Lepisosteus oculatus: one gene and its partner. The protein of the gene in region 1 interacts with the protein of each later gene in a biochemical or structural test. Links are inferred from orthologs where the notes say so. Each region holds a gene or a part of one and is shown on either strand. Other genes may lie near its edges.

What was found.
Region 2: the proteins of pcna (region 1) and rev1 form a complex in vitro, tested with the Homo sapiens proteins (2 studies listed by BioGRID, with this or other methods). The link is inferred for Lepisosteus oculatus from reciprocal best matches to the Homo sapiens genes PCNA and REV1.

Annotation. Positions count from the first base shown.
Region 1 is NC_090697.1:65,499,313-65,507,207, reverse strand, and holds the start of pcna (proliferating cell nuclear antigen), read right to left. Parts: upstream 3,012-7,895; 5' UTR 2,818-3,011; coding exon 2,597-2,817; intron 561-2,596; coding exon 463-560; intron 202-462; coding exon 134-201; intron 1-133. Other genes in the region: putative aminopeptidase W07G4.4, read right to left, coding at 5,547-5,681, 7,633-7,814. UniProt on the Homo sapiens protein: Auxiliary protein of DNA polymerase delta and epsilon, is involved in the control of eukaryotic DNA replication by increasing the polymerase's processibility during elongation of the leading strand.
Region 2 is NC_090710.1:2,840,402-2,847,890, forward strand, and holds the start of rev1 (DNA repair protein REV1), read left to right. Parts: upstream 1-4,431; 5' UTR 4,432-4,450; intron 4,451-5,070; exon of another isoform or gene 5,071-5,303; intron 5,304-5,426; exon of another isoform or gene 5,427-5,950; intron 5,951-6,045; exon of another isoform or gene 6,046-6,840; intron 6,841-7,489. UniProt on the Homo sapiens protein: Deoxycytidyl transferase involved in DNA repair. Transfers a dCMP residue from dCTP to the 3'-end of a DNA primer in a template-dependent reaction.

The DNA of each region.
Region 1 (7,895 bases):
GGTCGGGCTTGTACTTAAACGATCAGTCTAGCGTTCTAATCACTGGATCGTTAAAAACCTGCTCCCTCGGCGCCGACCTGGACTACAGGACCACCGACGAGCCCGGGACCCTCTTCAGGAGAGGGGCACTTACTGGGATCCCCAGCTGCTCCACATCGAGGTCCATCAGCTTCATCTCGTAGTCCGACACCTTCTCCTGATCTGGGGGGGGAGGAGACGAGAGGGAGAGTCAAGCTCCTGGCGCCCCAGGGTGAGCTCCACTGTCCTCTGGAGCAAAATCACAGCACCGAGCACAGCCCATCACCAACCCCGCCCGGTGATACAAGCCGAAAACAGGAAGAGGCCGCTCGGACTAGTTAGCAGCGGCTACCTGATCCTGTCCGATAACCATCGCCTGTTCCACACTCCCACCCCCCCTTTGTGTAAGGGAGTTCCACAACCCCGAGCTCACAACCCACTCACTGAGCGTCTCGAACACCAGGGCCAGCGTGTCGGCGTTGTCCTCCGCGCGCAGCGTGATGATGTCCTCGTTCCCTGCGCACTTCAGGATCTTCGACATGCTGCAGCGACAGGAGAGAGCGTCCCTGAGTGGCCCCGCAACTGTCCGGCCCCCCCAGACCTGCCGGGTCAAAGCTGCCACTCTCCGCCACCCCCACATCCCGGAGAGACGGGCCCCTTCGCAAACGTTCGGGAGCGAAGCAAGAGGTAAGGGTTTATTCCGCGCTGGAAGAGACAAGTTCGGCTCGGGAGCCTTCTGAAGGGTGAATGAGGCTCCACAGCCAGACCCTCGTCTCTTTTCCTTTTCAGCACAGGAATCAACAGGAAGTTTCTGGACTAAACGCATCTACTGCTACATCTGTTCTCTTTCTTTTCCCCCGTTTACAACCATTTTTTGTGCAATATATGCCAGGGACCTGTGCAATACATTTATATGTATATCTATATTTATATTCATATGTGTGATACGATTTTTCTGTGTACTGTTCTGTTCTAGTTTGTTCTTTGTGTGTCCGGACTGTGAGTAACTCTTGTATTGTATTGTATGTATTGTACTATTATTATATAATTCGTTACACTGTGGCTGTGTTGTGTGTGTTAAGCTGCTGTTGCACTGCAATTTCCCTCACGGGATCAATAAAGTATCTATCTAACCTTGACTTGCGGCTTTGCAGCCCAGCCATGCCGACGCAGCTCCCCGCCTGAACTTCTTCAACGTCTGGGGACGCCGTTCATCTATTTATTGACCATCAGGGGGATTTTAAAATCTAGTCAGCCCAAAAAAATCCTCACCTACAGTGACTAGCAGCAGGTCATCGGAGAGATGTCCCAAATCAACACCCCACATGCCACCTGAGCCCACATCTCTCTCATCCCGAGACAGGACACTGAACTGCTGCTCCTGGCCGTCTCCCTCAGGGTGATCTGCCCCTGCACAGCGAACTGTCGGACACCTGCCTCTGTTCTGCGAAGGTGCATTATTCATGTATCATCTACAACGCGTCCATCGCCATTGCAGGGGGAGTAAATTTACGGGCTCTGTCTGCTTATGAAATGTTCTATTCGTTTGAAATGTTTGTTTGTACGGTTTTCTGGAAGTTTCTGTGCGCAAATCGGGCTGCCTGTATGCCACACAAATCTCTGAAGAATCGCATATAGTATTTTATGGCATCGATCTTCTGAATCTAAATGTTAAAAACTGACACTCACTCGAACAAGTGAGACGCTGATCATGCTCAGACCTACAGGGCTGCGTCTCTCCCTGCACGCAGAGCACATTGTACTTTCCCGCCAACAAGACCCCCGTTTGCGAATTTGGCGCCGAAGTGACGTCACGGGGCAGGGGCAGCCATGCCGCCTTTTGATTTCCTATTCCGTTTTCCCAACTCGTGGCGCCAGAGCAGCAACAAAAAAAAACCATCCAGGCGCCCGAGTTCACTTTGACACAAACTTAAAAGGGGCAAAACAGGGCATCTACACGCCCTGTGATTTACAGGCTGAGTGCTCAAGTTAAAAAAGCCGGAACTGAAATACAGACCTCAGGGATAACATTTATGAACTTATAACAGCGATGCACCGTTTATTATTCTTTAACGCATCCTGGATTGCTATTTCGAAAAAAAAAAACAAACGCAACAGATCAATAGCGCTGTATATTATATAAGTTATTTTAGTCATTTCAAATTCCCAGAACGGTTCAGTCAGGTGACGGAGCGCCAGTCCGGAGATCCGCTCATGTACAGACATGCCCGGCGCGGCGCTACTACTCCAAGCACAGAGCACCGTCCGGGGAAACGTCAAGACACCCGGGTCACGGGGGAATGGGCTACTACTACTTTACTGACCAGCACCCGCGAAAACTAGTTCCCTCTGCGCCACGGCGCGCAGTAATTATTTACAACGACTTCACCGCTCTAAAACTCAATGTGAAGAGCCGATCGACAGCGCACTTTATAACCCGTGTTAACAGGCGCTTTGGAAAATACAATAATGCATCAGATACGCAAGATCCGAACCCGGGTGTCGGACAGCAGCGCGCGGGAGGGCTGCCCGCGGACGAGACCTCCTCCCGGGACCGGCTCGGCCCAGCTCAGCTCACCTGCTCAGGTTCACCCCCATGGCCAGGTTGCGATCGCAGCGGTAGGAGTCGAAGCCGTCGCTACGCAGCGTCAGCTGCACCAGCGAGACGTGCGAGGAGTCCATGCTCTGCAGCGAGATGCCGGACGAGCTGATGTCCCAGCACGCCTCGGTGATCAGGTCCTTCAGGGCCTCCAGCACCTTCTTCAGGATCGAGCCCTGGACCAGCCGAGCCTCGAACATGTTGCAGGAACGACCTGTGTGTGCGTGGGCGTGCAAAAAGAGAAATGGGTGGAAACGCAGGTTCCTCAAGCGTCAGGCTCAAAGTTATTGACTCCTGGCTAAATAACCGCAGCAGCACTAACTATGCTTGCTACTCCGGCGACTGAAATACAAAGACGAGCTGGCGGGAATCGCCGAGTTTTATTCTTGTTCCTCTGACGTCACTACAACCCCTCCGCCCACATCCGGGAAACCCCGACCGTCACCCAGGCGATGATTGGCTAAGACGCGCGTGCCTTGGTTTGCGCGCAGCATAGAGACGACTAAAACACTGCGATTTTCATCAGAGGTAGTCAACTATATACCCAGGGTCAAACAAGCACATTATGAAGTGCGATGTTGTCCTCAGTCGGTCGTGCCGACGAGGCGAAGCACCCAGAATCGAGCGCGGCAAATCACTGGGAATGACACCGAGATCAGCCAATCACCGCTGGGGAGACGGTCGGGGACAGCCCGCCCACCCGTATCCGCCATTTTGGCTCTGGCTTTTCCGCGTTTACCCTTCACTTCAGCGAGCCTCCTCGCAGACTGGGTTCCCATCCGACTCGACCCCTGGAGGAAGTGCCGTGTAGTTTAAAAGGGCGCTAATTTGTTTTTATGTTTTTTTGTTCTGAAACGCACAAGGGAGTTTGTTGAGTCAGGCGGTAAAAACATGGCCTGTTGACACATTGGACCACATTTAGAATAGGCATAAAGTGCTGGAAAAGAAAATGTGTAAGAACTGAAAGTAAAGGATTTTTAAGGTGATTGATTAGTATTTTTCTCATGTAAAATCAGGGATGCAGAGCAAAGGTACAGTATTCCGTGATAGGTAAAACTAAAAAATATATTTTTTAATCAATTAAATGAGCGCTTTTCATCAAACCTCTGACAACTGGACAAAAATATCAAAAGAAATTGTCTTCCTGAAACCAGCGACTACTCTTTTCATTCGGATTCCTGTCCTTACACCCACTTTTAATGAGTGTTAATAAGTGAGACACAAACAGACGAGAAAGGGAGAGAGGATCAGCACAGCAGTCTAATAGTAATGAACTAAAAGATGTATTAATATTCCAGGATCAGCAAGGTCTACAGTCTCAAACTCTGTTTCTGGAGGGTGCTGGCATCTAGATTGTATTCCAACCTGAGCAGTCAAACAATTAGCCTAATTATTTTCTGAGCTGGACATATGCCTCATTTTTCTTGAAGTCTTTTATGATTACACTGAAGGTACAGATACCTATACCCCCCTCTGAGCCTGGCTAGATGTATCACAGCTGTGCAGCTCGTGAGATAGACCATCAGTGCAACAGCGACTGTTCAGAAGACGCTGGGCTTTGCAGGCACCCAGCTCTGCTGGAGGAAGATGCCCTCGTGATGCTCCAAACCTGGGCTGATGAGTAGTAAAAGATACCACAGGGGCAGAAGGAACTTGGTGGTTACCATCATCCCTCTGAGGTTTAATTTCCACAGCACCGCCGAAGTCAGCAGGTCTACAAAATTCAGGTTGGGAGCCTATGAGCATAATCTCAGTCTTCTCAATCAAACAGCATAAATCTCCATCTGTCACAGTTAAATTGAGCATAATCTCAGTCTTGTCAATTAAATTGAACATAATTTCAGTCATGTCACAGTTACACTGAGCAACATCTTGGTCTTTTCCATTAAATTGATCTTAGTTGTAGTCCTTTCCAGTACAATGTGGATACAAGAAAGGTTTAATGTCTGATGGAGTTTGCCCATGCTGTCCCATGGGGTGCAGCGATTGACAGTATCAAAACGCAGCACTTTAAACCAGGAGAAGATTATGGAGTGACCCCAAGTTCAAGCCATGATGAATTAACTACTTTAACAACCGATTTACTTTAACCTGGATGAAAAGGTTTGAGGATCTCACTGGCAGCCACGGAAGATTGCAATTGAGCCGACACCTCCCTTTCAGGACTCTTGGGTAGGAAAAGGAGATCAGAAACAGGACAGCAGTTGTTAAGGATCTCCACATCTAGGTGTGAAGTTTGCGGTTAAGAAAAGCCTGGCCTAAAGGAACAAGCCCCGATTTCTGGGACTCACCGATGAGGGCAGCAACTGGAAGAGAAGAAACTTCAGCTACTAATACCACTTACTGTGCCGCCGATGGGAGAAATTCAAACCTGTGGACGGAGAAGACGAGGTCGTCGCGACAGCAGGCGCAACTGGTTAAGGAAAGTGATGAAGACTGGTGTGAAAACTACACCAATGAGTTGCATTGTTCGGGAGAGGGAAAACAGCAGCTAGTTCAAACATTTTACTGATGGCATAAGAAAGGACTGTAGGAGTACTGCAACCCCTCTCACACGATTGCAACTGTTAGTTGTGTTCCTGCAGAACTAAGGTACACTGTCAAGTGTACACTCAAGGCAAGTCGGACCTTTTTAGGTGCATTTACACGGTGTTACTCTTGTACGTGTAGTGCTGTTCTGTTTTTGTAAACTCGGTAAATTGCAGTAAATGAAGTCATTAGACAAGTGCTTACACTGGAAAAATAATGCTAGATGATAAACCAGCAACACGCAACATAAATCAAGAAAACACTTTCATCATTTAGGCCTTTTTATTGCATCGTGTTGAGGATCCAGTTTTTCTCCGGACACACACACACACGCTCTGCGAACCGTTTACGTGTACAAACAGCAAAAACGTCTTGTCATTCACTCTGCTCCGACAGACACTCAGAGGCAGGGCAGGACGTAGCGTGTGGCCATGGCCAGGATCGGCGCTCCGGTCGGGATTCCTGGGAAAGGGCCGGAGGAGCCGGCGATGTCGATGTGGGAGTAACGCAGAGGCTGTTCGGAGTCCGTGCCGTGCTACGGGTGAGAGGGAGGAGTGAACATGTCAGTACAGAGCAGAGTTTCCCCAAGTCCAGATCCCAGGATCCTACATCCAGAGCGTTTTCTCTATGAGTCTTATCTACAAAAGCTCAATGCAACAGCCCAGACACTGCGATGTGGAGGACAAGGGGTTCTGGTGTGTAGTGTGTACAGTTGTGTGCTCGATGTCCAGCCTAGACACTGCGATGTGGAGGGCAGGGGGGTCTGGTGTGTAGTGTGTGTACAGTTGTTTAATGTGTGGATTGTTGTGTGCTCGATGTCCAGCCCACACACTGTGATGTGGAGGGCAGGGGAGTCTGGTGTGAATAGTACAGTGTTGTTTGCTCAGTGTCCCAGTGTCTTGATGCCATGATGAGGAAGGCTGCAGGGCTCTGGTGTGTAGTGTGTGTGGTTGTGCGTTGTGTACCTTGTACAGCCCTGATGCCATGATGAGGAAGGCCGCGGGGGTCTGGTGTGTAGTGTGTGTGGTTGTGTGTTCTGCAACTTGTCCAGTCCTGATGCCACGATGAGGAAGGCCGCGGGGGTCTGGTGTGTAGTGTGCGTGGTTGTGTGTTCTGTGCAGTTTTGTGTACCTTGTCCAGCCCTGATGCCATGATGAGGAAGGCCGCGGGGGTCTGGTGTGTAGTGTGCGTGGTTGTGTGTTCTGCAACTTGTCCAGTCCTGATGCCACGATGAGGAAGGCCGCGGGGGTCTGGTGTGTAGTGTGCGTGGTCGTGTGTTCTGTGCAGTGTTGTGTACCTTGTCCAGCCCTGATGCCATGATGAGGAAGGCCGCGGGGCTCTGGTGTGTAGTGTGCGTGGTCGTGTGTTCTGTGCAGTGTTGTGTACCTTGTCCAGCCCTGATGCCATGATGAGGAAGGCCGCGGGGGTCTGGTGTGTAGTGTGCATGGTTGTGTGTTCTGTGCAGTGTTGTGTACCTTGTCCAGCCCTGATGCCATGATGAGGAAGGCCGCGGGGCTCTGGTGTGTAGTGTGCGTGGTTGTGTGTTCTGTGCAGTGTTGTGTACCTTGTCCAGCCCTGATGCCATGATGAGGAAGGCCGCGGGGGTCTGGTGTGTAGTGTGCGTGGTTGTGTGTTCTGTGCAGTGTTGTGCACCCTGTCCAGCCCTGAAGCCATGATGAGGAAGGCCGCGGGGGTCTGGTGTGTAGTGTGCGTGGTCGTGTGTTCTGTGCAGTGTTGTGTACCTTGTCCAGCCCTGATGCCATGATGAGGAAGGCCGCGGGGGTCTGGTGTGTAGTGTGCAGTGTTGTGTACCTTGTCCAGCCCTGATGCCATGATGAGGAAGGCCGCGGGGCTCTGGTGTGTAGTGTGCGTGGTCGTGTGTTCTGTGCAGTGTTGTGTACCTTGTCCAGCCCTGATGCCATGATGAGGAAGGCCGCGGGGCTCTGGTGTGTAGTGTGCGTGGTCGTGTGTTCTGTGCAGTGTTGTGTACCTTGTCCAGCCCTGATGCCATGATGAGGAAGGCCGCGGGGCTCTGGTGTGTAGTGTGCGTGGTCGTGTGTTCTGTGCAGTGTTGTGTACCTTGTCCAGCCCTGATGCCATGATGAGGAAGGCCGCGGGGCTCTGGTGTGTAGTGTGCAGTGTTGTGTACCTTGTCCAGCCCTGATGCCATGATGAGGAAGGCCGCGGGGGTCTGGTGTGTAGTGTGCGTGGTCGTGTGTTCTGTGCAGTGTTGTGTACCTTGTCCAGCCCTGATGCCATGATGAGGAAGGCCGCGGGGGTCTGGTGTGTAGTGTGCAGTGTTGTGTACCTTGTCCAGCCCTGATGCCATGATGAGGAAGGCCGCGGGGCTCTGGTGTGTAGTGTGCGTGGTCGTGTGTTCTGTGCAGTGTTGTGTACCTTGTCCAGCCCTGATGCCATGATGAGGAAGGCCGCGGGGCTCTGGTGTGTAGTGTGCGTGGTCGTGTGTTCTGTGCAGTGTTGTGTACCTTGTCCAGCCCTGATGCCATGATGAGGAAGGCCGCGGGGGTCTGGTGCCCACGGGGGGTGAGGGTGGAAGGCAGGTTGTTGCTCTGCAGGAGATCCTCGTACTCCGACTTCCCGCGGTGGAACTCAAAATCATCGCGGCGGATCATGGACACCTCGAACACGTCGCCCAGCACCTCCCCCGCTGGCACAGAGAAAGGACAAGGATTGAGCACGGGGAGAGGAAACGCGGGTCGTCTGCGACGCGCGACACGGCTACAAGATC
Region 2 (7,489 bases), on another chromosome or scaffold:
TTCAATTCACTGATTCAGGATGAAAATGCATTTCCTTTAGAAAATGTCCCCCGTTAAAGGGGAATAACTACATCCTTGCAGATGTCTTACAGTAGGTGTGCATTAAAGACCATAACCCTAATCTTACCCTACCTCTATCCACATAAACCTCAACCTCTTTAGTATTGTACTGCCTAATGTTTGAAAATTTAGGAAACTAGAAAATTAGGAAACACGTTCTGTTACCGGGGTATTTATCCAATACCTCTCTCTTGAGAATGAGACAAAGGGTTCTGGCACCTTCAGAAGAAAATGAGACAGAACTCAGGCTGTGGACCATGACCACTTCAGGGACACTGCAGACAGACGGGAAGGACTCAAGTGATCTTCTGCAGGGACTGCCTCAGAAAAGAGGGGTAGGTCAGTTTGCCCGGTCTTGATGGAGCACATCGATGTTGTGTGAATTCATGCGCCAGCCCTCTTGCTGTCTGAGTGTCTGTTCGCCACCATCACTCTCTTGTCACACTTCAACAAGGCCACAGAAGCAGCCTGGAGCACTATATCCTTATCAGGGTGACTGGTAGGACAGACAAGGAGCAGCTTTTTATTAAAATCAGTGTGTTGATTTATGGCCAAAATGTAGGCATTCTAATGTTGTATAGATTGAGGAAAGTGGAATTTGTTGTTCTTTTTTAAGGTTGTAACGGTTGAAGATTACATTTCTGTAGGAAAAGAAAACGTTGGAAAAAAGTGCAATACTCACAAAAATCTAATCTTTCTCAAGGGAACTTTTTTTAAACAAAAAAAAGGGTTTGGAAATCTAATGTTTTTGGCAATGTGAAAAACTGTATTCAGTCATGTTTTAATTCTATGCAAACGTTTGCCGATATTGTTTTATATGTTATTTATATTTTCCAGCGACAGTACAGACTGCTGTAATTAAACACATTTCAAGTGCTCTATTTGTATTTCGTGTTGCCTTTGGATTGGTTTGTAATGACACCTAGTGGTACTTCTGGTTTATACAAGTAAAGCTCCACAACGCATAGTCGCTTGCTTTTTAAGCCTTTTTACGCACTGCGTCCTTGATGATTTATCTCACAAAATCCGTGTTTAGTCTTCATTTATTTTATTTTTTCAGTTTTATACATTATGAGAAAGCAGTGGGGCAAATTAAAGGTCTGGTTTTCCACTAAAGAGGCCTGTATTTAGGAAACGAGCAGTGGCTCTTTTTCGGCCATTCACCTTGTTAATACACCCGTACACACGTGAGGTTTGGCTCCTGTGCTCGAGTCTCCTGCAGCGTGTAGCTTTCATTTCATTCTTGCAGTCATACTGCAAGAGAAGCCAGATTTGACAGCTCTATTATTATGGCTAATGCCTACAGAAGGGGATAATTTTCAAATGAGTATAGAAAAATCCTCAAGGCCGCTTACAGAGTCTACACCTCAGACTTATGTCCAATGAACAGTGGCATATGAACCGGCAAAAGTGGAAACAAGATGGAAGGATTGTGGGAGTCTGGAATGAGCTTCTCAGCCGCGTCATTGAACCCGATACCCACTGAAACGGATCGCTTGTATCCCTAATACACTACTTAAAAGTTTGACATATTGTTTCTTTCGCAGCGATTTACATAAATTCCGTAGCATGATGACTTTTTTTTTATCCACCACATGAAAAATTACAGCAGTTCACCCCCGTTCACGCAGGGTGAGCACAGCTTTGGGGGAGTTTGGGGAGAGGGCTCAAGGCAGCGGAACACGGTACGCATCGGCCGCGGCTCTTCCTGTACTTCCAGCTCTGACGTCTAAGACAGTTAAACTGCCTTGTTGATCTGTAAATGCGAGCTCTCCTTTGTGAGCCACTGCGTAACGGATTTGCAAAAGCAACTTTCAGTGCAGGAAAAAAAAAACCGCGTTAAAATCATTCTCTCTCGCTATTTTCTGCTTTCCCTTCTCTCTCTTCTTCCCACCCTCTCCGCCAGCCCTTCAATCGCTCTTGTACTCAGCGGCCAATATGGAGCCAGCAACATCCCAGGCTCCATCACAAGCCGTGTGCTACCATGGCAACAGAAGAGCGGGTCGGCCAATCAGGTGAGAGCCATGAGGTCTGACAGATGTCATAAACTCGCTGCAGAGCCGCAGAGAAACACAGCCGCTCCAGATACAGACGCTGTTGCTCCAGCGGCACACGCCCAATGCACCGCTCACTTTCTGTCTGCAAAAGGTCTGTTAATCATCTGGTGCTGTACGCGCGCACTACAGGTTATGCTGTTCATTTCTCCTGTGTTCTTTGTTCATTTAATCTAGGCGTCCTAGCTCAGGAATTATCCAGACAAACCCTATTTTAGATACAGTATATAACCAAAGCATTGCACTGAAAATCACGTAATTATGGATAAATAACCCATTGTGGTCCCTTTATTTTCTATTAGCTCCTAGGTAAGAATATTTTTAAGAAGCTTTATGTGATGGCTCAAAGTTTCAGGGATTCATGTGAGGCCTCTATTTTGATATACAGGCCAATCTATATTCTGAAACATACATCAGGACATTTGGGATAGTTCTGGGTCTTTGTCCTCTGCCTTAATTAAACGAATTGGGAAAGTCAGGCATTTTCCCAACATTTTTTACATTTAGGACCCAGATTTTAAGTCAAATTTGGGATCCGGCCATCAATGGCCAATCCCAGGCCTTTGCTGTCCTTCCGTGGAAAGGTGCTCTCGGGGAGGAGGTTGGAATTTGGATAGGGGAAGACAGGCCGGTGTACACATCGGAGTCCTACCTGGAGGGTTTGGAGCAGATATTCAGTGACAGCACAGCGCCGGCGCTCGCAGAGAAGCTGCTGACAATGACACAGGAGGAAAGGAGGCAACCGGGAGGAGCAGATGGTAATACCAGTTATCCAGATGTGTCAGACTCCAGATGTGGGAGACCGGGGTTGTCTGGTTACATCCATCCATTTCCCAACCTCTTTATCCAGTAAAGGGCCGAGGGGAGCTGGAGCCTATTTTGGCAGGAGACGGGCGCAAGGCAGGATGGGAAGACACACTCACTGGGATGGCATCATCGAGTTCTTATTCCAAATTAGTCACTCATTTACCTAAGAATTATTCTCCCACAGATTTATCTAAAGTGGGAGACAATGCAAATGCTCATATGCTTCATTAAAGGGAGTTACCTATAAAACAGATCCTGGTGAGAAGTGTTCAAATTGTCTAGGCACAAGTAAAGGAAAAGATAGGTTTGAGCAGAGAGCCGTGTCAGCGTTGGGCACGAGGGAACAAGTATGCTTTCATTCAGTTTAGAGAAGGCCCCACACCTGAAGAAGGCTCACCAGCCAAAACACTTCTTTTCTTATACTGTTCACTGCAAAATGGGCATTTATTTCTTCCTTTGCAGCTGACACACCTCCTTGCTCGAACCTCTTCGAATTGTGTATCTGAGATCGGGTGGATCTCAAAACACAGGGATCCACTGGAATCAGGAGGCAGATCTCAAAACACTGAGATCCACTGGAATCCAAAAGTGGATCTCAAAACACAGATCCACTGGAATAAAAAGTAGATCTCAAAACACTGAGATCCACTGGAATCCAAAAGTGGATCTCAAAACACTGAGATCCACTGGAATCCAAAAGTGGATCTCAAAACACAGATCCACTGGAATAAAAAAGTAGATCTCAAAACACTGGGATCCACTAGAATCAAGAAGACACTGGGCCCACTCGGACACTCCTGAGGCGACGTCTGCAAGGAAAGAGATGCGGGTGTTTCTTCAGTCTAGAATATAAGAAATAGCCTGAGGGCTTTCTTTCCATGTCAAGACTGGGGCGCTGAAAAGACTTCGCCAATCGAAGACTCTCTGGAGTAAAGACTCGCAGTGGGCTAAAAGTACCAAGGCTGACAGACCCTGAGCTAAACTGAGCTGCAGCACGAGATACGTGCCCCTGAGATGAACAACAGATGGTGAGGAAATGGATTCGTGAAATTCAACATCTACAACACAAGATGGCGCAATGGCCAAACACCACGTTTAGCTGAGAGAAACAAAGTTTCATGTTTAAAATGCATCCCTACGATGGCGCGGTAATTACGTTTCAATCTTCATCTAAAAAGAACATACAACTGTTTTAAATATATATGTAGTGAAGTATTTAATGCATGTTATTCAGTTCACGGATCTCAGCAAAGTGTTATTTTACTTTAGATAGGTTTGGAAATATATCTGAAAGCCAAAAAAAGGACTGAAAAATGACGCAACTAGCTTGCCTAACTAGCAATGTCGACGAACAAATGTCTGGAAGTGGCACAAAGCGTTCACAAACTCCCGCATCTACAAAACACGGAGCTCTTGGAGGTCGCGGCTCCGGAGGGGACTGGCGCTGAAGAAAGTCGTGAGAGTCGAGACGCACTTGGGGTGCACCCCACGTGTTTCGCGCGAGTTCAGCGGGACCCGGAGCTCTGCAGGTACCCGCAGGGCCGATATCCGCCGCTGGGAGCTTGTTGCCAGGCAAGGCTGAAACACACGCTTTGTACCGCCTCTATTTCCAGATGTCCCCGATAGGCACTGCATCGAAGTAGCAATTATTATATAGTGTTATTGTTGGTGGTGGTGTGCTGTGGTTTTTCATCTAAGCCATTAAGAAACGTTTTTGATCTATACGGGCGGTGGTTATATTAGTAATTATTCCTGGGTTTTTAGAAAACGACAAAGTTAAACGTTTTGAACATAGGAACTCTTATCTTTGTACTTCGTGATTACTATTTAATCCTATCCACTTTCCTTCGAGATGAATACGCGCGACTAAAATACGGATTTTTTCATAATGAAAAAATATGGATGGTTAATCGTCCTGCGTTCTCGTATGGGTTCTGAATCCCACGAAAAAGGCTAGCGCGATTAAGTGTCCGATGAAACGGTAGCGCCGTATTAATTCAAATTCAATTGTATAATACACCGATATTTACGGTAATTCTGTTGCAGCACAAATCTTGCTCTGAATCCGTCAGGTTAAGCCTCCTCGTCACGCGTGTTGAGGTTGTGACGTGAGCTGGGCATTGATGTCGGGGGACACACGAAACCTCGCTCCTTCCCCGCAGAGAGGCGGTAGTTTCTGTGCGGGGTCGTGCCTCGAAGCGCGACGTTCAGAGGAAAAGCCGCTCGGGTCCCTGGTGCACAGGTGGCGCGGCGTGGATTGACGTTCACCCTTGTTCCCCCAGCCACGTTAAACGAAGGGCTCCCTCGCAGTGTGAAATAGCACTTCGCCATGTTTGAATCAAAGCAGGCCGTGGAGCGCCCCTCGGGTACACACAGCCGCAGGTGCGCTTCAGTCACGGAATGAAGTCTTGTGTGGAGAAGGGACGAGGGGGCTGGGGCTGGCTGGGGCACGGTGTTATTCGGTTAAAAAAAAAAAACAACACGGTCTTGGCGCCTGTTGCCCCAGCTTTTTAATCACTCCGCTTGAATGAATTATTTTTTCCTCCTGCTGCAGCGTGTTCACCAGACTCGCGGCGGGGGGAGGGGGTGTACTCGGGCCACAGAGTCTGCCAGCCGCCGCCGCCGAGCCAGTCAATGAATCCCTGGGCGTGAGAGGGGGGCCCTCGCTCACTAGACGCGCTGCGTCACTGCAGGCGAGCGATCCCGGCGCTGGGGGGCGCTGCGAGACCGGCCGCCGGCGGCGCGTCTCTCCGTGGTGACCCCGGCAGGAGGAGCGTCCGCGGCGGTCGGCGAATAGGAGGAGGAGCCGGGGAGAGCGAGAGAGGCAGGCGGCGAGAGAAGGCTGCTGGAAATGGGGAGAGAGAGAAGGGCGATCGGGGGGGACTCGCTCGTCTGACTGAAGAGCCACGAGTGCGAGTGGGAGAGAGGGGGCGAAGCAGAGGACAAAAGACGGAGCAGAAGAGGCAGGAGGGAGAGGGAGAGGCCGGCCTGCACGGGCGCAGGAATGAGAAGCTCGCTGTAGAGGAGAGGTGAGGACGGATCCCCCATGAGCCCGAGCCCGAGCCCGAGCCGCGAGCCGCGCGCGCCGCGCCGGACTGCGAGCTCTCGTGCGATCGCGTGCCTTCCGCCTGGCGTGCGCTCGGGGCAGCCGTCTCGCTCGGCGCGAGAGGCCGATGCGCGGGAGCCGCGGCTGACGCGTCCTCTCCTCTCCGCTGGTCCGGTCCCGGCCGAGCCCGCAGACTGCCAGCCTTGCCTGGGGGTTTACCCCCCACCCGAACTCCTTCTCCTGTTTTTTTTTAGGCCGGCCTGGGTCAGACTGTCCCACCCACCAGCTGAATCACATGGGACGGGGCGAGCAGACACAACACAGGCGTTCACGCCAGGTCGCAGCCGGCTCTCTGGCCGGGGCGGCAGGGTGTTCGCCCGCCGATTTGTAGCGGGGAGCGGGGGGCTCTCACGTTAGAGTCCGGTGCCCCTGAGCTGCTGTAGTTGGAGCCCCCTGACCGGGGGTGTTGCCTCCTATTACACCGTAGTGCCCTTCCTGTGTGTATAAGCGGCATGACCCCTGCGCCCCCCGAAATATCCCGGCGTTGCCCCCTGTTTTGACAGTCCGCGGGCAGACCCGGCACGTCCGAGCTCAGCGGCGATGAAGGGGCTCACCGGGCGGGCGGAAGTGCTGTATTACAGTCGGGTAACCCGCTGCTCCGGGGTCTGCCAGTGCAGGCTTCAGGACGAGGCAGCTGTAGGACTCACGGTGTTTATCAGTCGGAGTGGAATGACAAGAGTTCAACCTGAACAATGAGTCTGCGTTTTCCATATTTTGTAGCGTTTTGCTTTGGAAGCCATCGTTTTACAGCTTTGCGACGTAGTAAATATGAGGTGCCGCTAACTTTGTTTTCTTATTGTACATACATGTGTGGTAAGAAATCCTAAACTTCACATTATTTGTGGTGGGTTATGGCTTAACAATGTTGACCTGTCGTGTCAAGTAAAGGTAACGTGAATAATGGAAAATGAAACAGCCGGTGTTCTTTCTGTGAACCCTTTTATATATATATATCAATAAACTGTCCACCTTGATCAATAATTGTTTCTCCAACAAGCATTCTTCACACAGGAGGTGTCTCTCAAACTGTGGGGTGCTGTGTATAAAGGGCACACACCCCTTATTCTCTTACTGTAGGTTCTGAGTGAGCTCCCTGCCTCTCCCATCGAAGTGATGGCAGGGGTTTCTGAAAAGGGGCAGTCGACACAAAAATAGATTTTGTTTCAGAATTTATGACTGTGGTGTCTGAGGGGATTTCTGTATTGAAAGAATGTTTTATTAAGGATAGAAAGCTGGGTTTTCCGAATCGGTTCCTTCAGGGCTCCTGTGTCCTTTGGTGTTTATGCAGACCAGAGCGGTCAATTAAGCAATTAACCTCATTCCTTTCTCAGTTTAGATGCAAGGAGGATGTTTCCTCCATTCGTTCACAGTTGATTGCTCCCAAGTGTTCACTTTATTAGCGACACTGAGAAAGCGTCTCAGTGCCTGGTCCGAGTTACCATAATTATGCACTTGATTAGCA